7 linked regions of the Nothobranchius furzeri genome follow. The main gene of each other region encodes a partner of the protein of the gene in region 7 in a complex. Links are inferred from orthologs where the notes say so. Each region holds a gene or a part of one and is shown on either strand. Other genes may lie near its edges.

What was found.
Region 1: lsm4 (region 7) and prpf6 share a complex: the UniProt entries of both Homo sapiens proteins name them as parts of the U4/U6-U5 tri-snRNP complex. The link is inferred for Nothobranchius furzeri from reciprocal best matches to the Homo sapiens genes LSM4 and PRPF6.
Region 2: lsm4 (region 7) and snrnp200 share a complex: the UniProt entries of both Homo sapiens proteins name them as parts of the U4/U6-U5 tri-snRNP complex. The link is inferred for Nothobranchius furzeri from reciprocal best matches to the Homo sapiens genes LSM4 and SNRNP200.
Region 3: lsm4 (region 7) and lsm7 share a complex: the UniProt entries of both Homo sapiens proteins name them as parts of the precatalytic spliceosome. The link is inferred for Nothobranchius furzeri from reciprocal best matches to the Homo sapiens genes LSM4 and LSM7.
Region 4: lsm4 (region 7) and sart1 share a complex: the UniProt entries of both Homo sapiens proteins name them as parts of the U4/U6-U5 tri-snRNP complex. The link is inferred for Nothobranchius furzeri from reciprocal best matches to the Homo sapiens genes LSM4 and SART1.
Region 5: lsm4 (region 7) and lsm3 share a complex: the UniProt entries of both Homo sapiens proteins name them as parts of the precatalytic spliceosome. The link is inferred for Nothobranchius furzeri from reciprocal best matches to the Homo sapiens genes LSM4 and LSM3.
Region 6: lsm4 (region 7) and lsm5 share a complex: the UniProt entries of both Homo sapiens proteins name them as parts of the precatalytic spliceosome. The link is inferred for Nothobranchius furzeri from reciprocal best matches to the Homo sapiens genes LSM4 and LSM5.

Annotation. Positions count from the first base shown.
Region 1 is NC_091755.1:59,889,708-59,893,814, reverse strand, and holds the start of prpf6 (pre-mRNA-processing factor 6), read right to left. Parts: upstream 2,801-4,107; 5' UTR 2,746-2,800; coding exon 2,567-2,745; intron 2,385-2,566; coding exon 2,222-2,384; intron 2,142-2,221; coding exon 2,023-2,141; intron 1,892-2,022; coding exon 1,813-1,891; intron 1,562-1,812; coding exon 1,385-1,561; intron 1,009-1,384; coding exon 895-1,008; intron 817-894; coding exon 722-816; intron 637-721; coding exon 480-636; intron 396-479; coding exon 233-395; intron 1-232. UniProt on the Homo sapiens protein: Involved in pre-mRNA splicing as component of the U4/U6-U5 tri-snRNP complex, one of the building blocks of the spliceosome.
Region 2 is NC_091757.1:37,093,686-37,097,669, reverse strand, and holds the start of snrnp200 (U5 small nuclear ribonucleoprotein 200 kDa helicase), read right to left. Parts: upstream 2,801-3,984; 5' UTR 2,571-2,800; coding exon 2,526-2,570; intron 2,372-2,525; coding exon 2,208-2,371; intron 1,801-2,207; coding exon 1,629-1,800; intron 1,548-1,628; coding exon 1,355-1,547; intron 1,250-1,354; coding exon 1,194-1,249; intron 1,102-1,193; coding exon 1,003-1,101; intron 917-1,002; coding exon 764-916; intron 685-763; coding exon 585-684; intron 494-584; coding exon 357-493; intron 280-356; coding exon 202-279; intron 124-201; coding exon 1-123. UniProt on the Homo sapiens protein: Catalyzes the ATP-dependent unwinding of U4/U6 RNA duplices, an essential step in the assembly of a catalytically active spliceosome. Plays a role in pre-mRNA splicing as a core component of precatalytic, catalytic and postcatalytic spliceosomal complexes.
Region 3 is NC_091748.1:58,320,411-58,324,438, forward strand, and holds lsm7 (U6 snRNA-associated Sm-like protein LSm7), read right to left. Parts: upstream 2,759-4,028; 5' UTR 2,655-2,758; coding exon 2,649-2,654; intron 2,409-2,648; coding exon 2,318-2,408; intron 2,219-2,317; coding exon 2,147-2,218; intron 918-2,146; coding exon 775-917; 3' UTR 501-774; downstream 1-500. UniProt on the Homo sapiens protein: Plays a role in pre-mRNA splicing as component of the U4/U6-U5 tri-snRNP complex that is involved in spliceosome assembly, and as component of the precatalytic spliceosome (spliceosome B complex).
Region 4 is NC_091744.1:19,554,474-19,558,702, forward strand, and holds the start of sart1 (U4/U6.U5 tri-snRNP-associated protein 1), read left to right. Parts: upstream 1-1,429; 5' UTR 1,430-1,758; coding exon 1,759-4,071; 3' UTR 4,072-4,229. UniProt on the Homo sapiens protein: Plays a role in mRNA splicing as a component of the U4/U6-U5 tri-snRNP, one of the building blocks of the spliceosome. May also bind to DNA.
Region 5 is NC_091743.1:73,197,565-73,201,812, forward strand, and holds the start of lsm3 (U6 snRNA-associated Sm-like protein LSm3), read right to left. Parts: upstream 2,801-4,248; 5' UTR 2,735-2,800; coding exon 2,714-2,734; intron 1,513-2,713; coding exon 1,402-1,512; intron 956-1,401; coding exon 860-955; intron 512-859; coding exon 431-511; 3' UTR 1-430. UniProt on the Homo sapiens protein: Plays a role in pre-mRNA splicing as component of the U4/U6-U5 tri-snRNP complex that is involved in spliceosome assembly, and as component of the precatalytic spliceosome (spliceosome B complex).
Region 6 is NC_091747.1:62,679,562-62,683,199, forward strand, and holds lsm5 (U6 snRNA-associated Sm-like protein LSm5), read left to right. Parts: upstream 1-1,354; 5' UTR 1,355-1,432; coding exon 1,433-1,478; intron 1,479-2,529; coding exon 2,530-2,625; intron 2,626-2,712; coding exon 2,713-2,740; intron 2,741-2,811; coding exon 2,812-2,884; intron 2,885-2,961; coding exon 2,962-2,994; 3' UTR 2,995-3,138; downstream 3,139-3,638. Other genes in the region: late secretory pathway protein AVL9 homolog, read right to left, coding at 704-790. UniProt on the Homo sapiens protein: Plays a role in pre-mRNA splicing as component of the U4/U6-U5 tri-snRNP complex that is involved in spliceosome assembly, and as component of the precatalytic spliceosome (spliceosome B complex).
Region 7 is NC_091748.1:65,762,208-65,766,456, reverse strand, and holds the start of lsm4 (U6 snRNA-associated Sm-like protein LSm4), read left to right. Parts: upstream 1-1,449; 5' UTR 1,450-1,586; coding exon 1,587-1,589; intron 1,590-2,398; coding exon 2,399-2,440; intron 2,441-2,925; coding exon 2,926-3,024; intron 3,025-3,529; coding exon 3,530-3,710; intron 3,711-3,790; coding exon 3,791-3,897; 3' UTR 3,898-4,249. UniProt on the Homo sapiens protein: Plays a role in pre-mRNA splicing as component of the U4/U6-U5 tri-snRNP complex that is involved in spliceosome assembly, and as component of the precatalytic spliceosome (spliceosome B complex).

The sequences.
Region 1 (4,107 bases), on a different chromosome or scaffold from region 7:
CAAGTGTAACTCCGATAGCTTTGTGAGGGTGATTTCATGAGACAATCAACAGATTGAGACTGGCTTTGAATTTCAGCCCTGGAGAAATGAGTGTCGTCCTTTTCGCAGCAGAATCAAACTCATTCACACACGAGCTGCTGGGAAGGAACGTGAACCTCCGTTTATAACCACAAAGCAGTGAGAAGCTTCTGATGATAGTTGCAGACAGAGAAAGCAAAATTAAAAGCCTTACCCTTTCTGAGGACCCTCTTCTTAGCACGGATGTCTGTTTCGAGCTCAGCAGCCCTGATGTAGATGCGGACAGACTGTGGGAGGTGGCGAACAGCCTGAGCAACCACAGCTTTAGCCGTATCACCAGGTTGGAGCCTTGCTGCCTCTAGCCACACGTCCTCACTCTGGTTAAGAGAGAGATATTTTGTTATTGAAGGTTATCAGCATCTAGCCTTTGTGCATGGAACCAAAGCAGACACCCCTTTTACCTTAGGACACATCTCTGTGCCCTTCATGATCAAGTTCCTGGCGACCTGCAGCTTGCCCGTCACCTCTTCAAGCCTGGCAGAAGCAATCCAGGCCGGCGGGTGATGGGGATTAGTCTCTCTCACAGATTTCAACAGCAGGCGAGCCTTCTTGATGTCGCTGGGTGAGATTTAGGTGTAATTCATCAAACACACATAAGAAGTTATTTCAAAAGGAAATTTTCCTATGGGCAACTTTTCTATACCTGATGTCTCCTCCATAAGTGGGGATCATGGAGTTGAGATCTGTCAGGTAACCCTTAGGATCCACCACTGTCTGTCCACTGACTGAATCAGACACCTTAGTGGAGAGAAAAACAATAAAAACAGGTAAAATCTTGATAAATGTGAAAGAAGCTCAGGATTTAGATAGGTCTACCTGACTGAGCCTCATATCCATGAGAGTGTTTCTGGCTTGACCGATTTTCCTCATATCCAAGTCTCCAGTTCCAGGAGTCATGCTGCCTGGGTATGGTGTGTTCAGACCGCCCAGCTACCAAGACAGAAAGCAGGAATTGTGTTACAGCGTGTGTGAACAGCTAAAGAAAGCTGAATCCTTTCTCACAGCTATAACTGACACACGTAAAAGATGCTTTATATTCTGCAGAACTAAACATGGAGCCAGCTCTGTCTAAGTAAACACTGCTGTTTCCAGTTAAAGTATTTAAACATTGCATGCATGAAATCAAGTAGATAAATGAATAGTTTCAAGTTTAAACATGAGGTTGATGCTCTTAAGCAGATATTTACTGACAATATAATGCATGGCTGCACATCTCTGAACAGTTATTCTGACTCCTGCTGGGGCAAGGTGAAACTACAACAAATGTTCGGTGACCTGCTTGTAGTGTGTTTTCATGACTACTAACCCCTTGTAACGGATCAACAGATGTGTGGTTTTCTCCGGTCTGCAGGTGTTTAGAGAAGAAGCTGTCAGGGACCGGGGTGAGCTTCTCAAAGCGAGGATTCCTCTGTCGCTTGTTCCTGGCATCTCCAACTTCAGGGATGCTCAGCCACTCCTCCTCCGACACCTCTGCTAGTTTTCTCTGTAATTAAATGATAAAACAGAGATGCGTGTCTGATCCTAAGAGAGATTAATAATTGTAATTTCATGTGCCTTTGCATTACCATTTCACAAATGGCAAATAAGATCACAAATTTGTTTAAAAGCACAAAAACATGAATGCAAACAAATCAGTATGCAGAGTCAGCTGTTAACCTGCACAAAATGCATTAAAGATAGATACCTAAAAATAATGGCATCGTGAATACAATAGAATAAATGTGGAAAACTTACCTTCAGATCTGAGAACTGCTGTTGGATTTTAGGACGCTCCATACGATATTTTTCTATTTCTTCCTTTTCTCTCAGCTCCCTACGAGCAACCACAGACAGTATCAGAAACACATTAAATCAACACAGGGATGAAAAAGGGATGCTCTGTGCACTTATTTTGTAGGTGTTTGGTCTTTTTTGGTCAAGAGGTAGATTAGTTTTATAGTTTACCTTCTTTCTTTGCGCCGTTCATCCATTCTCTTGTCAAGTGCCGCATATATAGCATCTGCTTCTTCATCGTCCTTTTCATAAGGCCCACTGGAGAACAAGCTGCCAGCGTAACCATTAAACTGTACAAGGAGCAAACAGGAGTTATTGACTGGATGCACTGAAGTATTAAATGCCAACAAAAGCATTTAGTTATTGAGACCTCGTCATAGTTGGTGTCGTTTAGATCTTCGTCATCATCATCCTGATTCTTCTTCATCTGGTCACCAACCGTCCTCTTCCCTGGGGGAGCATGCCGATCATCCACGGGGTCGTTGGCATCCCGAGCAGGACCGATGTCGGACCGGGTGGTGAATCCTGTGGCACTGAAACCGCAACATAACCCTTAAGATCGGAGATTTGTCCTTTGTTGCAAACAGCACAAACCATTGTTATAATGTATTTAAAATGTTGTTTTATTTGACACTGCATGCAGAAGGTGGACAATTCAAGTTGTCAACAAACACGCAACTGGAGGAGCTAACGACTTAGCATCAAATTAGCTTACCCTCTGCCGAGACCAGGAACGTAACCTAGCGGAGCGGGCATCCCCAGAAACGGCTTCTTCTTTTTCCCCATAAGCGGAGAGGCAAGAGGTATTACAGGGGGCGCGCCACTCGCCCCTGTGCCCCCCGCGCTGGTTTTGGAGACAAGTTTAGGTGTTTGTTTTGCTCCAGAGGTAGCCATCGTTGCTGCAACGACGTGCACACTCACTAGCAGATGAACAACAGTTTAACTTCCGCTCTCGACTCCTTCCTTTTTCTTGTTTTCTGTTACAGCGCCCCCAACAGGACGGGCTGATTGATTGACCGCTAAAGTTTGCCACACGGGTGCGCCAAACTGTAGAAAATAAAATAAAAATACAATTAGATGGAATAAAGTTAAACTGAGTAAATAGTATTTATCTTTTAGGATATGCTACTCTAAACACCAAAACACAATTGTCTAAAATAGTACAATGAGGGAAAAATATATACTTATATACATGCATATATACAATGTTTATATACAACATAAACACACACACACACACACACACACACACACACACACACACACACACACACGTGATATTTATTTATACTCAATTTTAAGATATAAAAAGAAAAACTAGATAAATCATAGTATCTTCATCCATCCTAAATGAACCACCTCAAGTTGTGCAAAACTGAGAACGGTCATTTTTGACTGGCCTAATGCAGAATGCCTCATCAGTATCTGGTTCATTAAAAAAAAAAAAAAAAAAAAAAAAAAGAAAAGCTGTCTCACTCCTACGTTGGCAGTCCTGGGTTAGAGTTTGAAGTGGAGGTAGGGTAGAGTAAGATAAATACTCATACATACTGTTGTCATTTCCTCTCTAGTTTGTTTAGTAAAAAATTATTACCTAGACATTGTTTACAGAAACAACTAATGGACCTGCAGCCCTAATTAAGACAAGGATGACTCAGATGACATTTGATCCCACAGATAATTAGGTTGCCAAATTGAAAGAAATACATCATTTTTTATGCTGTTTGAAAATTGAATACAATATTTTCACTCCTTGCCTGTCTGACTGCACATATATTATATTGCTTGTAATGTACATAGTTTTAGGTCAAATGAGCCATGCATTTGTGATGATTTCCATTAATTCCCATTAGACACATGCCAACATGCTACATCAATAACTCATCTGACATTTCAGGTTCAGAAACCTACACTCAAACAGAGATGCCAGAGTGCAATAAGTAATTACATGCTAACATGACATTTTTGGGATCTATCTCATGAGATGATGTGAAACCATTCATCAATTAGTTTCAATCGCATTAACTTCAGCCGTCTTCACTCCTAGCCTGGGATCCAGCCTCTACATCTTTCTTCATTTACATCGCCTGAAGGGATGGTGTTATTTTACCCGTGGGAGAGGATGTTAGGGAAGAAAATTGACCGTCAGATGGATTAGATGCTAGGTGGTTCACATGTACAAGGACAGATTTAAATATGAAGCTTAATTCAAACTGCATTTCCTCCCATCAGTGTGTTTTATGTCCTTGTGAGTCTTTA
Region 2 (3,984 bases), on a different chromosome or scaffold from region 7:
ATAACCTTTGCGCTGCTTACGAAAAGAGCCATCGGGCAACTGACAACGTTTGTTGGCCATGAAGTGGCTACCCTGAGTGAACGTCAAGTCTTCGAGGTCCAGAACCTGCCGAGGGACTACCGACTGTAGGATGAGAAACACAAATGTTCTCAACACACACACACTTTTACCCGGCTACCTGGACCATGTCACACTAGTTACCTCTCCATGACCAATGTCCATTGACTCCAAGTCATCAACACGAGACTTCCTCACCCTCTCCCTGCGAGATCGCTCTTCCTGAATAACAAAAACAAAATATGGAAAATCATTTCTTGCAAAGTGGTGACAAACAGTTCAAAACCAAGATGTCTTACTCTAATAATGTCCTCTTTCTCCGTCTCTTGCAGCTGGTACAGGATCTTGGACAGCTCTTGGTCAGACTCCATCTTTCCTATGATGCGTTCCTTCTCTGCTTCGCTCTGAGCGCTCGCCAGCATGGTACAATACTGAACTGTGAGTCAGACAAGATAAAAACCAGCAACTTCAAATAAGTTGTGCAACAGAACATCATAGCCCAGCGCAATTCAACGAGCGCAACTTACTCATGCGACGGTGCTGACGGAGGATTTTAATGAAATCAAAAGTGTTGAAGCCTAAAAGCAGCACCAGCTGGTTCTCACATTCCCTGTCGTCGCTGGCGGTCTGTAGAACAAGAAAGGCATCAGGTGTCAAAAGATGCTACGTTATGCTGCGTGACTAATAAAAACAGTGAAAATCCCACCTTGAGGATTTCTAAGACTTCGTCGGCTTTCTTCTGCGAGACAATAGCATCATCATAGAAGCGGCTGAGCTGACGCTGGAGCCAAAAGGCGTCAATGTCTCGAGGGTGCAGGTCTTTTTTCTTCACCGTCATCACGCCACCCGTTTCGCTAAGCTACAACAAAACAGAATTCAATTTTTAAATCAGAGAGAAGAAAACTGTGGAAATACCACCTGAACCAACAAAAAGGCTGTACTTACATTGGTTGTAAGCCTAGTGGACACAACAGCCTCCTCTCCTTCACTGTCTTCATCCGAGTGCTCATCTCGTACTTCACCAAACTGGTCTTCATCTCCTTCCTTTATATAAGTAACAAGACGGGGGGAAAAAAAATCACTTTTTCATTTTAATCAGTTTAAATACAACTAAGACATTAATAATTAAAACGTACTTCTTCATCAGACTCAAACTGGACATTGACACCGTACGTCTCATCAATGTTGTCATCTGCAGATAAATAACAAAAGATTTAGATGATTTGATAACAGCTTAAAGAGAACATGGTCACCAAATAAACGAAACACTTTATTAAGATATTTTAAAGTAGCTTACCCATATTCTGCAGGTCCTTGTCTTCACCATAGTCTGTGATCTTCTTTCCCAGATTGACCAGCACATGATAGCGCGTGTCATCAGAAGGTCCAAGAAGCTGTTCCACTTCACGACGCCTTTCTTTGTCCCTCATTTTGTCGTTCTTGAGCACCGCTAACACCTCATCAGCTGCTCCACACAGAATATCACGCGGCTGCAGACAATTGGAGTTCACATCAGCTGTGCGTTCGCCATCAACAGTGCAAAAGTCTTAAGTGTTGTGACGTTCACTAACCTGGTCTCCTAACGCAGCATGAATGAAGCTCAGCAACACTTCGTACGTCTCTCTGGTTTCTTTGGTTTTAGGCTTGTACACAATGCCCACCATCTCATCGATGCCCTCAGACAGGAGGGTAAAGCCTTTCATTTTGTTGATATCATGTCTGTCCTCATCTCTTTTACGTCTCCTGTTGTGAGATAAAACGGGATAGTTCAGATTTTTTTCCTCTAAACTGCAATCAATCTGCTGTCTCCTACAGATTAAACATATGCAGCTGTTCCACATCAAACCCCACTTCAAACAGCAAAACTACACCTTTTAAGTATATGGTGCAATTACATGCTTCACACGTTTGTTAATGACAATTAAAGGAGGATGAAGGTCAAAGACGGTTCTTTTCATTTCATTTAAATCTGAATAATTCTATTACTGTCCTAATTGAGGTATATTTCATGTTAAATGTGATCTATTCAACGTTCAAGTAAATTATAGAATGTTTTAAATTGTATAAGAATCATACACACGAAAACACCACCTGTACCTCGATTCTAACAGGTAAATGGTTTTAAAAACATCAGTGTTAGCTGCACTGACTTGTCTCGTCTCTCTTCGAGCTTCTGGGGTTTGGTCCTCTGAGCCTTGTCACCCATCTTCGTCCCCTCCATTTTCCCCACCAGGGACACCACCTCCCCGGTGGATTCATCTCTCCGAGTGCGGTCGATCAGAGAACGATCGACTTGCAGCACCAAGTTTGAGTTCTACAAACACACAATTAAATGAGACCCATCAGTTCAGCGGGCTGAGCTGCTTCGGCTCCGGCAACACGATCCACTAAACATCATAATTAGAAATCACTAGTCACAGAAACGTTTAATAACCCCGAGTTATTATATTTACACCCAACATACTTACCGCTTTGTACTCATACTGCAGGTTACGAGCAGTAACATCCGCCATGGTGCCACTTTTCCTCCGGGGTTCACCGCTCTCTGTGAACCAGCACGCGCACTAGTGAAGTTCACAGAGCTGACGTCACTCTGTACTTTTGTTAAAACGCTGTGAACATTAGTAGCGTGTTCTAATTTCAAACATTAAACCACTTTTACTCACAAACAGAAAGTAGCGTTTTTCATACGTAACAAAAGCACGGCTAGCACGAGCGCACAACAAGTGGGCAGAAATTTCCTCTTCCGGTGTCAAAGGGAATGAAACAGACACAAAAGGTAAACAGCGCCCTCTAGAGGCTTGGTGTAAATCATTCAATTTGGATGTTATTCGATATTTTTACATGTCGATGGCTAAATCTCACGAAACCCAGATGGCAAAAGTTCTGACGTTCTCTAATGAAGTACAAGTACACATTTTTGTATAAAAATGCTCTGGTAAAAGTAAAAGTATTTAGTGACCGTCTTTATTTAGTAAAAAGTAAAAAGTACAGGCTCTAAACTGTACAAAGTCAACAAACAAAAAATAGAGAAAGGGGGACAAAAAGAAGTCTTCCTCTGAATAAAAGATGTGTCATTGATGTACCACTGATTGGTCTTTCAGATGAATTTTAATGAAACCAAGAACTATATGATGACAAAATCAAAATATTTTAGAATAGAATAGAAAATGTCCTTATTGTCCCTCCGTGGGGAAATGATTGTGTCAAAGTCACAATTACTGCTGGGTTTCCTTTGATAGGAAACTTTTAACAAGTCTCAGTGGTAAACTAAATTAATTGCACTAATTATTAGGTTCAATTGGAATGTTTACTTTGTTGTGAATTGGGAATTAATAAATAAAGTTACTGAATTGAACTGGGACCGTGTGAAGTTTTACGTAAAATAAACATAGGCGTCAGTTTAACCGGGGACGCCGGGGACATGTCCCCGGCAAAATTTGTGATTGGCAGCTGTGTCCCCCCCACTTTCAAAAAAGCCTGCTGATGAGGATTTTTGTTTTACCAGCTCAGGGGTCAGCAACCTGTTCCCATCAAAGAGCCATTATTACCCGTTTCCCACAGTAAAGAAAACACCGCAGTAGCCGCAGCGTTGTGGGCGGGGCCTACCCTCAGACAGCAGAGGGCTGCTCACAACCAGGTGACAGCAGCAGGTACAGGTCGCTCGCATGGACATCGCACCCGTGGGGGATTCAACGCCCACACTTTTCCAGCTGTTTTGCTCACCTCCACACCAGTCTGGTTTCTTTATGTCGCACTCACTCTGTTTGCCTCATCTCCTTCTTCACCTCCGCTTCTAACAGCCGATGTCGGGTTTCCAGGAGAGCAGGAGAGGGAGTGACGGAAGAGCTCGACTGAATTCATAATTTTACATCTTGACATTAGCTGTACAAAGTCTAAGTTTGATAACGTGAAGAACAACAATTT
Region 3 (4,028 bases), about 7.4 Mb from region 7:
CACTATTCTAACCTACTTTTAGGAGGTTTCACATCCAGTTAAGTAAAAATTTTGCCATTTTAAAAAACAGCTTCAGTTATCTCACTTAAAACTCATCAGCATTTTGTTTCTGCGTTTCTCCAACGCCAAAATCTACTGAAGATCCTTTCTTTCAAAAGGAACAATCCATAGATATCATTACTTTACACCCCCACCCCAGCTTAATGCATTACTGACTTAAAAGCTGTTAATGCCACATATGTGTCTTTGTGAGTGTGCAGACAAGCTTGAACGGTTTATCTTCAAACACAGAAACTCCCTTTAAACCTAAACACACTCATCTTTTTTTTTACTGCAGAGTTCAGTAGTCTGTAGACCCATCGAGTCAGTCACAACCAGCAGGTAGGGGACGTCTGTCGGGTCAACAAAACCACTCAGATCCTTGTCACCCTTTCGAATAGACCATATCTGGTGTAACTTTCCAACACGTCCTCTGTGTTCAAAGGAGAAAAACATTCAGATTCAGCTTTTTTTCCACTTTATTTTCTTATCAAAAACAAAGAATAGTAAAAAGTTCACTCAGATAACAAGAAATTTGTTTTAACACTTTCAGAACTGGGAGCTCCTCACAACACAAAAATGAGCAAAATTAGCAGGGAAATAAAACTGAAGTGCAACGGAGCCTTATTTTACCAGTGATGAACTTAAAACATGTTTGTCGTCTGAATGACAAGTGTCCTGTAATGTTAAAAAAGAAAAGTCTAATCAAAAGTGTGCCACGCAGCAGCATGGGGGTTATCCATCTTGCTGCTGGATGAATGGGTTAGGAATGGCCTCCATGCCATCCTGAGGACAGATCAGCACCACAGAGGTTCCTCTGCAGACCACCAGCCCCAGCTGTCGGGTGTCTTCTGTCAGCTTCAGCTGGTCGTCTGGATCTGCACACAAAGCCACAGAACGTTCACACTGGAAATGTCAAGCAGCTGGGTGTCCACCAAGCATTTTACCGGAATGCACTCAAAACTAAAACATGAATGGTGAGACCTTTGATTTTTTTGTTTTGACCATCTTCAGTTCAGATGTATTTTTCAAAGATGTTAAGTCCACACAAGACGACCACTTGTAACAGCGATAAAAAACCAACAACATTTGATTTGTTATCACTGTTAAAAATCTGCTTCGACCACTAAAGAACAAACCTCAAACTGAAAAAAGCCACTCATCTTTTGTTTGGGGATTTTTAAATCAATTTAATTTCCCCCCACATGTTTCTGGTTTTTGTTCCACCCGAGTGGCCTCCATGACTCCTCTGAATATTAGCTCAACCCTCCCCTCCAAACACTAAACTGAGAATTAGAAACTTGAGCATTTTTCCAGTGTTTGTTCAAACTAGCATCACATTTTCAACAAATCCACAGTGATGGTAGAGGAGATAGGTGGAGTAACCTTACAGGGTAAGAGCACAAAAAACACAACCAGCTACTTACCTTTACCTGGAAACAACACACTGTTCCAGTAGAGAGGTGTCTACACAATGTTTTCTGTTTGTTTGTACAAAAAGAAAACAATTCCACAGATGCTTTTACACACAGACTTTCTTAATTTTATGAAACTGAAAAATTAATCTTACATACAAGGGCGTGATTTGAAAATTTGGAAACCTTTTTTCAATTTGAAGCCCAGAAAATCTCTCGGATTATTTGATGTTTTAGAATGAATTATTTAGAGCCTGTGAATTTTCTTCTTTTAAACATAGCAGCAACATGTTTTTGTCTACATGTAATTATATGTAATGTTCGTCCACTGAAGATAATCTAAAATTATGTTGCTTTTATTGTCAAACAAGATTAGCACGCACGCACGCACACACACACGTATTCCTGATAATTTACTGAAAAACAAATTAACTCAAAAAAGTGAAGTAGAAAAATGTCTCTTAAACATGCTCTGAACATGAACATAATGTTTTGATCAACATGCTTATTTTCACTAACTGTAGATCGTTTTAAAGATGACGGTAGGGGCGAAATTAATGCGAATTATTACTTTATAGTTATGTGTGTTGGGGAACTTCGGAATGTGTTCAGGAAAAGTCCTTCATCGATATAAACATGGACTCAGACTGAGGAGCAGTTTTCTGGCTGGATTTGAGTTTTGGTTTTCTTACCACGCATGTATTCGATCGTGCCGTCCAGCACCAGGTTCAACAGAGGATCAAATCCTTTCAAAACGCCGCTTGCTGAGAAGAAAACACAAATTTTAGGCTTCCACATAAGGAAATCTAGACATTTACTGCTTGCACGAAATGAAAGGGTTAGCAACAGCTTGGTCCACCCACCCTCTCGTCCACCTTGAAACTTCACCCGAATCGTCTTGTCGATATACTTGGACAAGTCGAAGATGCTCTCCTTCTTTTTCTTTTCTTTATCCTGCAGAAAGGCCAGGTTACATTGTCTTAAGTCACTAATTAATCACAAACAAAACGTAGCCTTAGCTTAGCTCACTACTAGCCACGTTATTTAAGTAAAACGTCTACCGTCACAGCAAAATAAAAGTTGTTCAAGTCGACTTTTGTTCAGAAAACAAAGCTAAATCTTAACAATACAAATGTGGATGTGAAAAGATAAAAAGTAACACAATATAATGAAAGCCATGGATTACGAACTCACCGCCATATTTACTGTCTGACCCGGAAGTAAATCTTAGACCCTAGGAAATGATAGTGATCCAATGAGATAACGCGTTCAGAGGGTTCAGAGAGGTCCAGCTGTAGACCATAAAAAGTAAAATGAAACAATATTGATTTTTGTAAAAGTCTCGGGACTACCATCTCTACTAAAACGTAATGAGTTAAATACACACTCATGTGATTGTCTTAATACGCTGTCAGGCTGGGAAAAACGTTCATCTTTCTCAGCTGCATTGTGCGTTAGCTAATAGCTACAGGCTACAATCTCAGAAGAAATCTACGCCCTCCAGTGGGGATAAACTGCAACTACAATCAGGTTCTAAGAAGCTAGAAGGGAACGTTCTAGTCTCATGGCAATGAAACTGGGGGGGGGGGGGGGGGGGGATCATAATCTGTATTTTTGTTTCTTTTGGTTGATGGAGATGGAGAAGAGAAAACTGCCTGTAAATTCTTTCTAAATAAAACGCTATAACACTTTTGTTATCAGCGAGTGGGAAACTCGCTCTAACAGCCTTTTTCGTTTATTATTTAGCTAAATTCACAATCAAAACAGTATGTAACAGTGTTAAAAACTATGCTAATACTGAGTTCACAACTAAAGACAGTTGGGGTTGCCGATCAGCTTGTATGTTTTTGGTCTGCTGGAGGAGCATGTACCCAGAGCAAACCCACACATGCATGGAGAGAATGAAAGGCCGTAGCCAAGGTTTAAACCTATGACATTGTTCCTGTGAGTCACCAGTGCTTCCAACTGCCCCACAATGAAACCCTTTTTAAAATAAAATGTATACAGATGAAACTCAAAAAATTTGAACATGGTTCAAAAGTTTATTGATTTCAGTATAAAAACCTAAAAGGTGAAACAAATTCATGAGATAAACTCATTCTATGCAAAACCAGATATTTCCATCATTTATTTGTTATAAGTGTGATGATTATGGCTTACAGCTTACGAAAACATCTAAAACTAAATATCTCAGACAAACAGAACGTGCGAGAAGGTTCAATACTCTAGACTCAAAGTGTCGCACTCTAACCAGCTAATTAATCAAAAACATCTGCAAAGGGTTCCCGAGCCTTTAGATGGTCTCTCAGTCTAAGATGGATTATTGAAATAAGTGAACTTTTGCACCATATTCTAATTTTTTGAGTTTCAGTATTGTTATTGGGAAAAAAATCAATAACCAATAAAGGCTCTCAGCATGGAGCTTGCTCCAGTCATTGACATGAACAAGCCAGCACACTGAATTAGCTTGGTCATGACCCACACATGACTACTATTAATAAACCCTGACTGTGTACCAGTTGGTGGGTTGCAAACCACAAGTAGGTCAAGATATTTTGGTGAGGCTGTTTGCAA
Region 4 (4,229 bases), on a different chromosome or scaffold from region 7:
AATGGCTAACAGAAGCAGCACGATGCTGTTACAAGCAAGCCGATTTGTCATTTATTACTTGGGCTCAATCCATCGTGGGGGGTTTCGTGCTAAAAGACATTTCAGCCATCCAGGTAACAATTTCTTCTATTCTTTCTTATCCTGGCATGATCTGACGATTCTTACTGAGGGAAACACGCAATTCACGTATCTATTATCCTAGGTGACATATTCAAAGGTTTTTTTAATACACAAAATAAAGAATAGTGGTAAACTCGTGTATAGATCTATTGAGAAACTCGCAACAAATGCAATTACAAATATTTTGAAAGATAATTAAAATATCTATTAAGAACTTGATGAAATAGCATTTGATTCAAACTTTATTTATTGAAATACAGCAAGGCAACAGCACTACCACTGTGCCAACATGCAGCCAAAGCATAACAGATTCAAGTAAAATTTAAAATGTAGTATGTATAAAAATGAGTGAAATTAACATGTGAACTGATATGATATCCATAATGTTACACCTACTCCTACCCTAGGATCCACCCATCCCTTCCTCTATTCCACTGCATCTCTTTGTGCACTTCCATCTATGTTGCACTCTGATTCATTTCTACACTATTTTCGCATACTCCTCTGTCGGAGCCTAGTGTTCTTTCCTCTAATCAGTTTATCGTTAGAATCAGATGCAAGTACTGTTACATCCTTGTTTATAGATCGTTTTGGACAAAAGCATCTGCCAAATACATTAGCACAATGCCCTTTTTGATATCTGGAGCTCAATACAGATAAATGCAAAAGCTGAAGTAGAAAAATGTAATTTGAAAAAATCCTTAATGCTGTTGTTGGTAGACAGAAACCATTGCTAGACATCTGACTTTTTCTCTTTGTCTGAGAAGAATTAATTTTGATGTATATCTGAAAGTGATAAACATCCCAGCCATTAAATGTTCAAATGACCGTTTGGAATCAAAAGCATTTTTAAATACTCTAAACCTGGGGGTTTCCAATTGAAATATCAATTACAGTATTAAAATGTGTTTTTACTGATCAGAATGCACTTCTAGATATTATTTCAGTTACGATAAGTAAGAAATACATTTTGATAATGGGAATTATTATAACTTTATCTAAAATTTTAAGTGAATGGAAATGTTTTGCTTCATTAAATGCTATCACGGCTTGCTAAATACAGCAGGTTGCAGGCTGCAACCTTTGCTAAGCTAACAAGCTAAAGTAAAGGAACTGCGCCAAAATAGAGGAGATAGTAAATCGCTGTGTTGCACTTCGTGTACTTTTTGTAAAGTATCAAACAATTTTCCTAAAACATTTAAAAGCGTTTGTTTGTCAGTTAATGTCCGGTTGTTAAAGCCCCAGCCAGCAGGGGGCGATATACAACCAGGGCGAGCAAAGTTTTTTCTACCACTTGACTTCCGGAAACGAATTCGTTGTCGTTGTATGTTCGTTTCGTCGAAGTAGCAAACTTAAAACGTGGTTGTTAGTATTTATGCTGGTGCGAGGTGCTACAAATAAACAAACCAACGAAACTCCACGTATTTTCCACCGATGCTGGATATCGAAAATATGATGCAGTTTTCCCCGAAATGAGTGAGTTTTGACGTGGCTAACCCTTTAGCTTTTGAAGCTAACTCGACCTAGTTGGGAGAAAAGTTCGCGACATTTACCACATCAATACAGCTGAAGAGACTGCGTACGCAGCTTGACTGTGACGGAACTACGACTCTGGAGTTGTAAACAGCGGACGAAATCATGGGTTCTTCAAAGAAACACAAGGAAAAGAGTCGCGATAAGGACGCAGAAGAGCGCCGTCGTGAACATAAGAAGCATCGGCACAAAGAACGAGAGAGAGACAGAGATGCCTCAGATCGGGATGGAACTCGAGAAAAACGAAAACGCTCCAGGTCCAGGGAAAGGAGCAGACGGGATAGTCGCAGCAAAGGGGAAAAAAGCAGTGGCGAGACTCGTATAAAGAGGGAGAAATTGGATCCTGGCTATGAGGAAGGCAGTGCAGAAATACAGCCTCAGAGTGCAAGTGGAGATGCTTCCCTCAGCGTCGAGGAAACGAACAAACTCCGAGCCAAGCTGGGTTTAAAGCCTCTGGAACTCAATGAGAACAAGAAAGAACTTGGAACCAAAGAGGAGCCACTGGTGGCTGAGACCATCAACCCTGTTCTCATCCAGCAGCAGAAAGAGATGAGGGAGAAGCTTGCAGCTATGAAAGAAAAACGTCTCCTCAATCAGAAACTGGGCAAAGTCAAAAACCTTGCAGATGATGATTGGCTCGATGACACAGCCGCTTGGATTGAAAGAAGCAGAAAGCTGGCACAAGAGAAAGAAATGGCAGAGAAAAGAGCCAAACTTCTGGAAGAGATGGATGAGGAGTTTGGTGTCAGCAATCTGGTTGAAGAGGAGTTTGCTCAAAGTAAATTGGATTCTTATTCTTCACGGGATCTCAAAGGCCTCAAAGTGCAGCACAAGGTTGATTCCTTCAAGGAGGGCCACACTGTCATTCTGACCCTGCAAGACAAAGGTGTCCTGGAAGAAGAGGAGGATGTGCTTGTGAACGTGGGACTGGTGGACAAGGAAAAAGCAGAAAAGAATGTGGAGTTGAAAAAGAAAAAGCCTGACTACAAGCCCTACGAAGAAGAGGAGAGTGTGGATGACATGGTCACCTTTAAGCCCCGCACTGTACTTTCAAAATACGATGAAGAAATTGAAGGTGAAAAGAAAAAGAGCTTTCGTTTGAGCACATGGGGATTTGCTGATGGGGAGCGAGAACGGGAGCTGCAGGCTATGAAAGAAACGCTGCAAAACCAGGCCCAGTCTTTGGAAATGCCTGCTCTTGCTATCGCTTCGGAGTATTACACGCCTCAGGAAATGGTTGGCTTTAAAAAGACAAAACGCCGTGTGAAGAAAATCAGGAAGAAGGAGAAGCAGACAATTGCAGATGAGCTCCTTGATGACACTCGCAGCTCTGACTTTGGCTCCCGAGCACGAGGTCGGGGCCGCAAACAGGACAACGAAGAGGAGAATACAGGCAAGGGCGAGCGTTGGCCACATGAAATCCCCCAAATGTCTGATGACATCAGGACGGCAGAAATGGAAATGAGTGATGAAGAAAACTTCACGCCTCCTGAGCCAGCTGTAATTGAGGAGGATGAGGCAGAGCAGGAGCTGCAGAAACAACTGGAGAAACAGAGGAAGCTGAGGCAGAAGCAGCTTCTCAAAGACTCCGGGGAGAAGGTGGCAGAGCAGATCAGACGGTTTGTTAAAGGCGGTGACGAAAATGATCCTGACAAGAGGAATAACATTGTCTTCAATGCCACCTCTGAGTTCTGCAGAACTCTGGGTGATATTCCAACGTATGGACTGTCTGGAAACAGGGAAGACCAGGAGGATATCATGGACTTTGAACAGGAAGAAGAGAAAGATGATGCTGGAGATTCAGACTCCGAAATGGATGAAAATATTGGGTGGAGCACAGTTAACCTGGATGAGGAGCAAAATCATGCTGAATTTTCCACAGCCTCTGCCACTATCCTGGATGAGGAACCCATCGTGAACTCTGGCCTTGCTGCTGCTTTACTGCTGTGCAAAAATAAAGGGCTGCTGGACACGCAAATGCAAAAGGTGGCTCGTGTCAAAGCAACAAAGGGGTCCCTGCCTAATGACAACTACTGCATCGAGGACAAGATGGGCTTTGATGATAAGTACAGTCGCCGGGAAGAATACAGAGGCTTCACGCAGGATTTCAAGGAAAAGGATGGATATAAACCCGACGTCAAAATTGAGTATGTGGATGAGTCTGGGCGCAGACTCACCCCAAAAGAGGCATTCAGGCAGCTTTCGCATCGTTTCCACGGCAAAGGTTCTGGAAAGATGAAAACTGAAAGGAGGATGAAAAAGCTGGAGGAGGAAGCGCTGCTGAAGAAGATGAGCAGCAGCGATACACCTCTGGGGACGGTGGCTTTGCTTCAAGAGAAACAGAAATCTCAGAAAACGCCGTACATCGTCCTCAGTGGCAGTGGGAAGAGCATGAATGCAAACACCATCACTAAATAAATATGTAGGGGAAAATGATTATTGTTGTAGCTCTTTTGAGATTATTGCTAGTTTATGGTCTTGCTTCAGTGTTGATATAACAATAGTATAAGAAAATCAGTACAGGTGTAAACTATTTCATTTGTCTTGTGAATTTCCTAAAAGAACAATAATTTAAA
Region 5 (4,248 bases), on a different chromosome or scaffold from region 7:
CGTCATGTAAAAGAAAAAGAATGTTCTGGGACTCAAATGCAATCATTTAGCTAAAAATCAACATAAAAGTTGAGCAATTTAACAAACATTTCGCTCACAAGGGGACCCGAGTCTTTATAAACACTGGAATGACTCAATCGGAACTGATAAGATTCAGAAAAATGTTTTTCTACTAAAAATAATAGTATCTACTGAGGCCGATTCTTACAATCCCAGAATGTGTCAAAAAATAAAAAAAAGTGTCCTCACATCATACTTCCTGGGTTTTTCCCCCCTCAGACATTTTGCCCTAGAGAAGAGCCTCTGATTCACATGAAATTTAAAGATGAAATAACAGTCTAGCATAAGGAAAATGAAGATTTATAACACTCTCCTACAAAAATGGACACTTCCCAGAAGCAGTTACATCATCCTGTCAGGCATGGGGGGCTTAGCCGACTCGGAGAGGCGGAGCTACGAGGACAACGCCGTCTCCTCTGACAAACAACATGGGGATGTTCCTCTTGGTAGACTAAAGAAACAAATACAGTAAAAACATTTAAATAACAGATATTTTATTTAAATACTCACTAAAGTACCGTCAAATTTAAATAAAACTTGAGTTTCTGATCATGAACAATAATGAAACCTCGTAGAATCTTAAAATTCTGTTTTATTACTTTCTGCAGATCTATTCAGCGTTATGTTAAAGTGACAAGTTAACATCGTTTAACGTTTCTGCATCTGATGGATCTTTAAGCATCACCCAACAGTGGCACAAGTTTGCCACTAAGCAAACACAGCAAAGAGTCCAAAACAAAAGCTGTTCAGTAGAAATGTGGCTAGAGAGGTTTTTCTATGTTTGTTCATAAAAACTGACCTTATAAAGTTCTTCATACGTCTCCTCATCAATCTCCACTGTTGTCACCGTCTCCTCCACATCCCCCAGGATCATATTTAAGTGTTGGTCATACGCCTGGACCAGATGGCAAACATTAGTTAGGACATACAGGTGAAACTGGACAAAAGAGAATATGGTGCAAAAGTCCATTTATGACAGTAATCAAGCTCAGATGGAGAGACCATCTACAGGCTCAGGAACCCTCTGCAGGTGTTCTGGATTCATCAGCTGATAAAAGTCTGACACTAGAATATTTACCTGAACACAATATTCTAATTGTCTGAGATTATGAATGTGGGGTTTTCATCAGCTGAATGCCATAATCATCACAAATAAAGGCTGAAATATCTGGGTTTGCGTGGAATGAGTCTGTCTCATAGATTAGTTTCACCTTTTAAGTTGTTTTACTGACATTAGAATTTTCAGTCTTATTTTTTTTACCTGTTTTATCAGCAAGTATTGTGAAAAAACTGGATCTTCTGAACCGTGTGTGTGTGTGTGTGTGTGTGTGTGTGTCGTACATGTAGTCGACCGCGGAGCTCCCGGTCATTCCTCATCTTCACGTAGATCCGCTCATCCAGACTGAGCCTGATCAAATCGAGAGGCTCCTCCACCGTGTTGGTAGGTGGTTGCTGTGGAACACATTAAAATAATCATCAATGTACGGATTCCATTTTTTATTGGCATATTCATCAAATAGCAAACATTTAAAAACAAAACTAGTCGGTTTTTTTACACTCACCGGAAATGTTTTTAAAAATCTAGATTAAAAATATCCAATAGGGATGGACAATATATCGGCATCAATATCGGTATCGGCCGATGTTAGTCATTTTTAAACATATCGGTATTGGTCCCATAAATAAAACCGGGCCGATATTAATTTTTCTATCTCGTCTCCATTTGTTTATCAGTTTCAGAGGGTGAGGGGGGTGATGTGTATTTGTTTAATCATGTGACAGTGATTGTAATCACCTCAGAAGCGTAAATGTGTGTGTTGTGTGTACACAATAATGTAAATCCAGCTTTAATAATTTTCATTCTATATAAAATCTGCAGATTTTGGAAGCATTAATGTCAGTGTATATCGGTATCGGCAAATATCGGTTATCGGCCATAACAGTGATCTTAATATCGGATATCAGTATCGGTCCAAAAATTTATATCGATGCATCACTAATATCCAAACATTGTTTAGCTGAGTCTTTATATTGTTATTTATTCATTTTTGTTGTGTCTGTACAGCTTTGTTAAGGCTTGCCTTTAAAGACCAGGGCTTAGAAAACAAACCATCTGATAGGAAATGTAAAGAGAGTGTGCAGAAGTACTGATCAAACCAATTAAACGTCTCATGACTTATTAACACTATGGTATCTTTGTCACTAATATCTTTATTTTCAATTAAATTGCACATTACAGCTTAGAAATATTCATTTTAAATCATAAACTTTGATCCAAACAGTTTGTTGAGACTCGTTACTTACTAAAGTTAATAACTAAACACAATAGTTAAAGAAAACTCAATATTAATTATTTGTCCAATTTGCTAGACAAACATAACGGGAAAAGTCATTCATTAATCTTTCATTTGTGAGAATCTGGTAACTTTTACGCGCTTACTGATAATTTTAGGATGAGCTGAACGCTAGGTGAATGTGGGCTAACCGGTTTCACAGGCCTAAACACAATTAAACCGTGTTAGCAATTAGCAAAATGCTACGCTTGTATCCTTAGATTAAAGAAATGCATAAAGTTAATAATGCGCGACGAAGTCAAGCAACTGCACAGACGCTAAAACGAACAAAAGTGTATAAACACGGCAACCAAACGAACCTGCTCCACTTCATCCGCCATGATGCTTTAACTGGCCTAGTGCCTCAATGGGCTCTGAGGTCGCAGTCATATATACGTAGACGCCCCGTGGACGGCTGCCGTAGTGGCCGACCGCCATCTTAGTTGGGTCTCCATTCGCCCCCACTGCATTAATTTCTACTTAGGAAGGTGCTTAGCCAACTAAAAAACGCATTTTATCAAGCTTTTTCACAAAAGCTGATACAATATATGGCATGATAATTAAAATATAAATATAATTTAACAAAATAAATTAAAATATATTTAAATATAGAATTCCATGAGGTAGGCTTGTAAAGTTACTAGTAATCCCGCTTGATCTGTTTTCAAATTGTACGCCGGTTGTTGTAACTGTAGGCTGCACATAAACGGGCATAGACCTACAGGTCTCCCATTAGATGTTTAGAGTATCTTGATCTTGATGCTGTGAGGGTCGCTAGAACGGGCTATTTTGCTGACATCATTGATACAAACTGTAACAATTCAAAAATTCTCCATAAAACGCTTAACTCTGTCTCAGTGTACCAGGACTCTGGCATCATTTTTTCTACTGCTGCTGGAGAATGTGATGACTTTCACAACTTTTTCACTAGCAAAGTCTCTGCCATTAGAGCTGCTATTTTTGGTTCATCTACAGACCCTGATCCAGTTACTCCAATACAGTCCACCCTGAGCTATTTTAATACTCTCTTATTCTGAGTTGTCTAAGCTTGTCTCAGGGCAGAAGTCGTCTAGCTCTCCACTCGATGTTTTGCCACCTCGTCTGTGGAAGGAGGCCTTTCCGTGTTTGGGTCAGTCTCTGCGTCTGATCATTAACGGCAGCCTGAGCACTGGAGTGGTTCCAACTGCATTAAAAGCTGCAGTCAGTAAACCGATCCTGAAGAAACCAGAATCTGATGTCTCTGTGCAGACAATTACAGGCCAATCTCTATTCTCCTTTTCAATTTGAAACTTCTGGAGAAGGTTGTGTGTCAGCAGCTTTGCTGAGAGACTGGGTAGGCATATCAGGATCTGCTCTGAAGTGGTTCTCCTCTTATCTGTCTGAGGGTTAGGGTTAGGGTTAGGTGCTTCTCTGTGGCCGTCTCCAAGTTTGGGTCCTCCACCACCTCCCTCGCCCATGGTGTCCCACAAGGTTCTGTGCTGGGCGCTCTACTCTTCCTCCTCTATCTGCTCCCTCTTCAGCACATCCTGAGCTCCTTCAAAGAAATCTCCAACCATCTTATGCAGATGACATCCAACTGTACATCTCCTTTAAGCCCCATGAGATGTCGAAGTTGCAAGAACTTGGCAGTGCATTTCAGAATCACTTGTTTTTCTCCACTGATTTATTGCTTTTAACCATTCATTAGAAAATGTGTGCAGGTGCAGTTTGGGACACATGATTTATTTATTTATTTATTTTTATCCAAACCCTTATGTATGACTCATTGTCTGGTGACAGGACAGGAGCATGGAAACTGGTGGGCTGCTCTGCAAGCTCCATGCCCTTCTGGCTCAGTGATCTGAAGTTCAGCAGA
Region 6 (3,638 bases), on a different chromosome or scaffold from region 7:
AGCAGCAAGGCACCAAGTTCATGTTAGCACGTTTACACACACCTGAGCTCTGAGTGTGTTACTCAGGTAAAAAGCATCCAGATCTGGTTTTGTGGGAGAAAAGTGGTTTGCCTGCAGGCTGAGCTAAAGGGAGGTGTGGCTGCTGTGATGTCACAAGAAAGCCTCTTTTTTATGTTTGTATGAATAAAATATTTGTTCTGAAAATATGCACTACTTTAGGACTTGGGTTTAATCATGCCACCAAATAAAAGGAAGTTTTGCTTCAGAGTCAGTTAGAAAATACCAAAATGCAAGTTACTGAAAGGAAAATAACGAATTTCACATTTTTGAGAGGAACTGAGATATTTCTGATGCAGTTTTTAAAGCTTGTAGCATCTTTGATTATTGTTGTTTCTTCCTATTCTGCCCATCACCGTTACTGAACATTAGATAATCAATTAGTATGGAGATCCAACCGGATGTGGGATCAGGTGAGCAGCTGCTGGAAACAACTGGAAAATTATCTGAGGTGGCAGCCAGAAGAGATGTTATATAACTCCGCACAAACAGCTAGAAATCAAAGACGGTTAAAATTAATATTTCCATCTGCATCAAATCCATCTCACCTGCAGTGAGCTGGACCATAACCCTCCATTCTAATGTTTTAGTAGGAATGCACCTTTATACCAGAGCTAGCCACAGTTAGCATGAAGCAGGTTCGTACCTGACAGCCTTTTTTATGGTGAAATCCAACAACCACGATGTGTAGCACCGGCCCCTTCCCTTCAGTTTCGCTGCCGTGAGACTCCATTTTCCCTCAGTCTTCTGTTCTGGAGGTCCGGTGGCGTTTGTGAACTCAGGGGGTTCGGATGTAAACACAGCGAACGGAGCCTAGTTTGAGCCCCGAATCTTTCCCACGCACACACACTCACGCGCGCGCGCACACACACACACACAGCGCTGCAGCTAGATTTCAACAAGATGTTTCCCTGTTCCTCACTTCCGTGTTTGCGTTACCGATTCTGTCAGATCCATCGGGGTCAGAGCACGGATTAGCTGTTAGCATTAGCTTTTAAATGAAAAACTGGTTCAAGTCGCATTTACACAATTTATAACAACCTGTTTCCAATGAATCTACTGACATATTTTCTTGCGAATATCTGATTTTGATCAAATCCTAAAATCAGTCAAGCATAACTTAACCAGAAACAGGAAGTAAACAAATAAACTCTCCATGCTGCAAAATCCATACTTAAGTCTTATACTCAAATATTTTTGCCTCTAAAGTGATTGTTGTTTTGGATGTTTTATTTATTATTTTTTGTGGGGGAATTTAAGTATATTTTTTTATCTATAGCATTCCAAAGTAAATCAGAGTTTGTCTATTCTTGCCTGAATTCGATTTGCTCTTGATTCGATTGGTTGTGACTGCTGCAGTCACACGAAGAAAGTCATGGCGGCTACTCAAGCGACAAACCCGTCACAATTGCTCCCTCTGGGTTCGTAAAATCTAATTTTGTTCCGTTCTTGCTTCAGATAGTTTCGCCTTTAGATACATTTCAATAAGAACCGAACAAGCAGTTCTAATTTAGTGAGTAGCAAACAGAAGTGAGCCGTTTTAGCGGTAAAATCACGCCGGTGTTACGTACAGATCTTTTCACCGAAGTAAACCGTGTCCCCGCTTCCTGACAAGATTTCTAGTCACAGGATTGTGTTCCTCCTGCTAAAATATATTATCTGTGGTGTACGGATTTAATTGTCAGTATGTGTAATTTGTGAAGTAAGCAGTTGCATGTATTTGATAAATTTAGGAACTCGTGGGGGTTATGCTTAGTTCAGCCATCTTTATTGCTTGCATTAATTTACTAATAAAAGTCAAATAAGGAACATTTTACCATTTAAAACATATTATAGCTTAAAGAAAAAGTTTTAAAGAAAACCCCCGGAGATTCTGGTTTAGATGGGGGACACATCTCGATGCAACACCAGCAGGTTTTAGCTAGCTGCAGATAAAGCAATAATTTCGTGTTCAAGCGTGAGTTTTTACCTAATTTATTTTAACAGAGGAGTATTTGTGGCAGTCTAAAAACTAAAAGAAGTGATTGTGTCCTATTTTACAGCAGTTATGACCTGAAAAAGTCAAACCAGCTCGGGTGCCTTAATGAGGATGGCGTGCTGATTGTACACCTGTCCGTGTCTGAACATGAGCAAAAGCTGAGCTGCAGCAGTCATAATAATACTCCTGAACTTATTGTGTTATTTAAATTCAAAGTAGTCACACCCGTGAACAACTTTCGTTGACAACTGACAAGAAAATTCATTTCGTCCATCGACATATATTCAGTTAGATTTAGTCATATTCTTCTGCCACCTACTGGCCAATTAGTGTATGTGCAGTACAAACCTCAACAGTATTTCCCTTAAGAAAAAATGATTTTTAGTAGTTGGTCCTGATTGGTTTTAGATGCTAAACATCACATTAGTTATTTAGAAAATTGTTAAAATCAAACTGAAAACTGTAGAAAATAACCTAACCTGTTATATTTTCAGAGCTTGTGGACAAATGTATCGGCTCTCGAATTCACATCGTCATGAAAACCGACAAAGAAATCGTCGGCACCCTGCTGGGGTTCGATGACTTTGTCAGTATCCTTCCTTAAAAGCTGCTGATCAGCTGTAGTGCGTGATTCAGAGGTGACATGTTCAGATTTGGTCCTCAACTGTGTGTTTCAGACATGGTGCTGGAGGATGTGACAGAATTGTAAGTGTACGTTGTTTTATTAACCGGTGTCTGCCTCATTCATCCTGCTCATCTCCTGGTGTTTCTTCCAGCGAGATCACACCAGAAGGACGGAGAATAACCAAACTGGATCAGATCCTCCTCAATGGAAACAACATCACCATGGTAGGACACAAACGGCTTCGGTCTCTCTCAAACATCACTCAGCTGGATGATTCATGTCGGGTTCATTTCTCCTGCAGCTCATTCCTGGAGGAGAAGGACCAGAAGTGTAAATCCTGTTTTGTGTCTTTTGTTTATTCTCTCCAGGTTTTTGGAGCATATTTTTGTAACATTCTTTGTTCAGTTTTTAGTAAAAGAAGCAGGTCTCACGTGGGAATTAAGATGTCTTTGTTGCAAATAAATCTGTTTGAAAAACATCCTTGTTTCATTTATTTATCATAAAAAGTAAATTTAGTGCAAACATTGGGACAAAATGAAGTGTTACCATCAGAAACCAGTGATAAAATCCAGCATCCAGTCTTTGTTGGACTGTAAAGCTAAATGAGAAGTTTCACTTTTGACTCATGAACAAAAAACGTGGAACCGATCTAGAGCTGAAACAACTAATCGACTTAATCGATTATAATCGATTATTAAAATAGTTAACAACTTTTTTAGTCATCGATTAGTTGTTTAATAATCATATTTTACCGCATAAAGTCTATTTTTTACCACAATCAGACATCGGTTACAAGCTGTTAAATTTGCCGCCAGTGTGTGGCAGTAATGAGCCACTGATCTACCAGTGGAGCCGTAGAAGAAGAAATGAGCCAATGGGTGCCCTCGGTTTTCATGACGTATCACGTTACTGACGCTCATCTTGCTGTGAGAGATGGCGGAACAAGAGGAAATACGGAAGAAAAATAGAAGCGACAAA
Region 7 (4,249 bases):
GCGCTGGAACATATTCCAGCTTTTCAGAGCAAATGACACAGTCTTTTGGAGAAAATACTGAGTAGCAATTTCTCATGAGGGCAGACCCTCTACAGTAGCAACAAAGTATATAGCTATGGCATGGAAATCTCTCCATAGACCCAATGTGAAGAACTGGATGAAACAGATGTTACAGGTAATGCCGCTGGAATGGATTACTTATATCTTAAAAGCCAAGCAACACTTATTTGACAAAATATGGACACCTTTTCTAACATATATTAAGAAGATGGACATAAAAATCTGAGGACTTATAAAGTGGGAGAGTATAGGAAAATACTCGGTCTTCTGACCAGCATTAAGACTGGAATGGGAGAAGCAAAAGCGAGGTGTAATTCGGGGACTTCTTGCTCACAGTTTTGTTAAACATGTCTATGTGCATATTGCCTTCAGTACTATATATGCTCTTACGTTGGAGAGGATCGCCAAAAGCCGAAGCACAACCAAAATTGTTATATTGTTCTACTGTTCTGTTGTTCCCTGATGATTTTATACAGAATGTACTTTCAATATACAACATAATACTGTGTAAAAGGTGTACACAGAAAATTTAATAAAATATACTTTTTGAAAAAAAAATGTAGTCAAAGATCCATCAGATTGATATTTCATATTTCTATGGAATCTCACATTTTATGGTTCATAAGTAAGATGGAAACGACTCATTCTTTACAAGTGCACAAATAACTCAGATTATAAACTTTACAACATTAACAAAATATAGCACCAAGGATCTGTGCAGGACAACCTGCCAAGAATGTGCATTGTTAGTTATAGACGTTATGGTGCATTTAATCTTTAACTGACACCTCTAATGGTTTATTACTCTTAACATTTAGTATAATGGGGCAATTTCAAAATTTACCACTTTGCAATGGCCATGTCCTCCCATTTGAAGATGTTTGTCTTTTTATGCAAAATTCACTCTTGAAGACAAATAATTTGATATAATTTTTATGAAAGCTATGGCTTTAGTAAGACTGCTGCAGCCTTTTACTGCGGTCAGGCCTATACAATTAACAGCATCACATAATATCTTCACCAATAAATAAATTATGAAGTATCAACAAAAAATTTTTTACTTATTGAGCTCATTTATTCTCATCACGTTCTAACTGATTAAAATATGGAGTGTGTTCATAATTATGTGTTATAAATTACTGTAAAAAAGCTTTTCTGATCAAAGTGACTTACCAATGAAACTTTAGCACTGTTTATATTTTCTGCTGGTTTCAAACTACTCCTTCGGAAGACTCTTGTTTGTTCTCATAATTAAGAAAATGATCTATTCAGACACTTTTAAGTTTAAACAGTGGTCTCAGTGTGGCCACAAAATAAAACGCGCGGAGAGAAAGTGCAGGTTTCGACGCTAGGGGGCAGTGTGCTGTGGTGAAGCCGCCGTTTGTAGTAGAATAAGAAAACGCAGAAGGCTAAAAGGAAATCCTTTCCCCAGGCTGGATTCGACCGCCAGAAGAAGAAGAAAGCTGGATTCGACCATTCGCCACAGCCTTAGGTTCGCCGCGTAAAACAAGCTATAAACCGTCATAATGGTGAGTATCTAACCTCTAGTTGTGGGTAGTTGAGAATGTATTCTTTAATAGGTCATCTTTGGTTCGGCTGACGGAAACCGTGTTAACATTTTTAATAAATTATACCGAAGTGAAAGCTTTAAGATGCTAAGCATGTAGCTAAAATAAACCGTAACATTTAGCTTTATTCAGGAGCCAGTAGACCTACCACAACTTCAGAAGTGTTGTTGTGTTATAAACGTGTTTAAATGACCTGATTTAATTCTGTAGTTTTATGGGTTCGGGGTGAATTACTCTATATTCTCATAAGAACAGCAAAAATTACCTTGTTCCTCACACTGGATGCCAAATGTATACGTTTGGGTGTAAAAACTAGATTTTAAAAAGTTAAAGAAGCATGCAAAATACAGTAAATTAATCAAAATATGAACTGCAAAGAAACTATGCAGAGTTGTTGCACACATTTGTGCAAGTAATGTCCCACATTAGCTGGAACGTGTATCAGTTAGTTAAAGGCGGATTATAATCCCAGTATCAGATAAAGGTACAAAGTAAACAGGTTAATAATCAGACTGAAATGTTAATGTACCAAGTAGAAATTAAGCGTCAGGAGCTCAGCTGTTCAGAAGTCTGGTGGCTGTGGGAAAGTGTGTGCCTCCTGTCTGAAGGTAAAACTGTTGATGTTGGTGGTGAAGAGCCTCTGATCGGGTGGTTGCTCTCCAGTAGACTCTGGATTCTTGGTTTCATGCGGTTTATTATGCGTCAGAAATAATGCTGTAAATGAGGTCTATTCTGTTAAATTAGATTTCAATCTGGTGTTTTATTTTCAGCTTCCCCTGTCACTCTTAAAGACCGCTCAGAATCATCCCATGGTGAGGCAAAACCTTGATTTTAAGTCTGATATTCTTTACAATATTGTATCCTTTAGGCTGTGTCATTAGTTATGTGAAGAAGCATCTGTTCTCTATGTAAATAATAACCTGCTTTAGTAAATTACAAGTGAAACTTAAAAAAAATACAGTATGGTGCAAAAGGTCGTTTATTTCAGTGATTGAACTAAAAAGTGAAACTAATGTATGAGATGGACTCATTACATGCAAAGCCAGATGTTTCGGCCTTTATCTGTTATATTTGTTATGATTTTGCCTTACAGCTTATCAAAACCCCACATTCAAAATATCAGACAACTAGAATATTGTGAAAAGGTTCATATTCTAGCCTCAAAGAGTCACACTCTAATTAGCTAATGATTAGAGCTAATTTTTTGTTCTTGACTTTAGTTTAGTTTGTCTGATCTGTTATTAGAACTTGCTCATTGTATGATTTTTAGCTTATAAAGCAGTGTGCTCTTTATTAGCTGGTGGAGCTGAAGAATGGAGAGACCTACAACGGTCACCTGGTCAGCTGTGACAACTGGATGAACATCAACCTGAGAGAAGTCATCTGCACATCCAGGGTGAAACATGCTTCTCCCTTTAATAAAATGTGACCTTTTGACAAAGGGAAAATACCAAAATATTTTAATTTGCTTAATGTGCTTTCATATTTGGTCTCTCATGAGACATTTGTATGTACAGTATATTTGCACAACTGTGTTGTGAAGGACAGCCTGCCTATGTGAACTGAGAAGTCTGCAGAATCCTGCACTGAAACTATCAGAACAGCTTCAGACAACAGCTGAGATACAATGATTGATTCATAGTGACTGTAAGAACAGACACAGTGCGCTAACTGGACCATCAGTGACTGTAATAATTTTTAAATTGTGCAGCTTTGTGGTGTTTTTGTACATGTAAACAAAAGAAAGATGGGTGATCACAACTAAACATGATCATTTGCCTATTATCCCCTCAGTCGGGTTTATTGTGCTAGACTTTAGGTAAATTAACATAAATGCAAAATAGAAGTGTTATTAATTGAGGAATTTAATTTAAACAGAAACTCTCACCATCTTTTTACAGGATGGAGATAAATTCTGGAGGATGCCTGAGTGCTACATCCGAGGAAGCACCATCAAATATCTGCGTATCCCAGATGAGATCATTGACATGGTGAGGGAGGAGGTGGTGTCGAAAGGACGAGGTCGCGGCGGCTCTCAGCAGAATAAACAACAGGGCAAAGGAAGAGGAGGGCCCGGCCGAGGTGAAGGATGCCGTTTGATCAGGTTGGTTTTGAACTCATGTAGAATTGATTTGTTGGACTGAACACAGCTGTTCCTGTAGGTGTGTTTGGTGGTCGTGGGAGAGGGATGTCTGGGCCTGGTCGAGGACAGCAGCAGCAGCAGGATAAGAAAGCAGGAAAACCACAGGGGATGAAAAACCAGCACTGACACACAATGATGCTTCGTTTGTTTTAAACACTTCCTGTTGAGGGACGTCTGCCTCAGTAACAATGACATCAACTCTGCTGTTTCTCTCTGTTGTGATGTTTACAACAACCGATTGTTGCCAGATAATACTTTAGTTTGATTTTTTTAAATCCTTTTTATTGGTGTAGAAAAGTCGAGGCCCAAATTTAGTTTAGTAGATATTTTAACTGGCTTTTTCCTCATTTCTGTAGTTTACTTCCAGCTTTGTTATCTGAAAGATTTTCTTTATAACCACAGCTGGTGAAGCAGTAGAGCGACAGCCAACAGGACTCACTTCCTGAATATTTCTGTTTAAACCTTTATAAGACGGCAT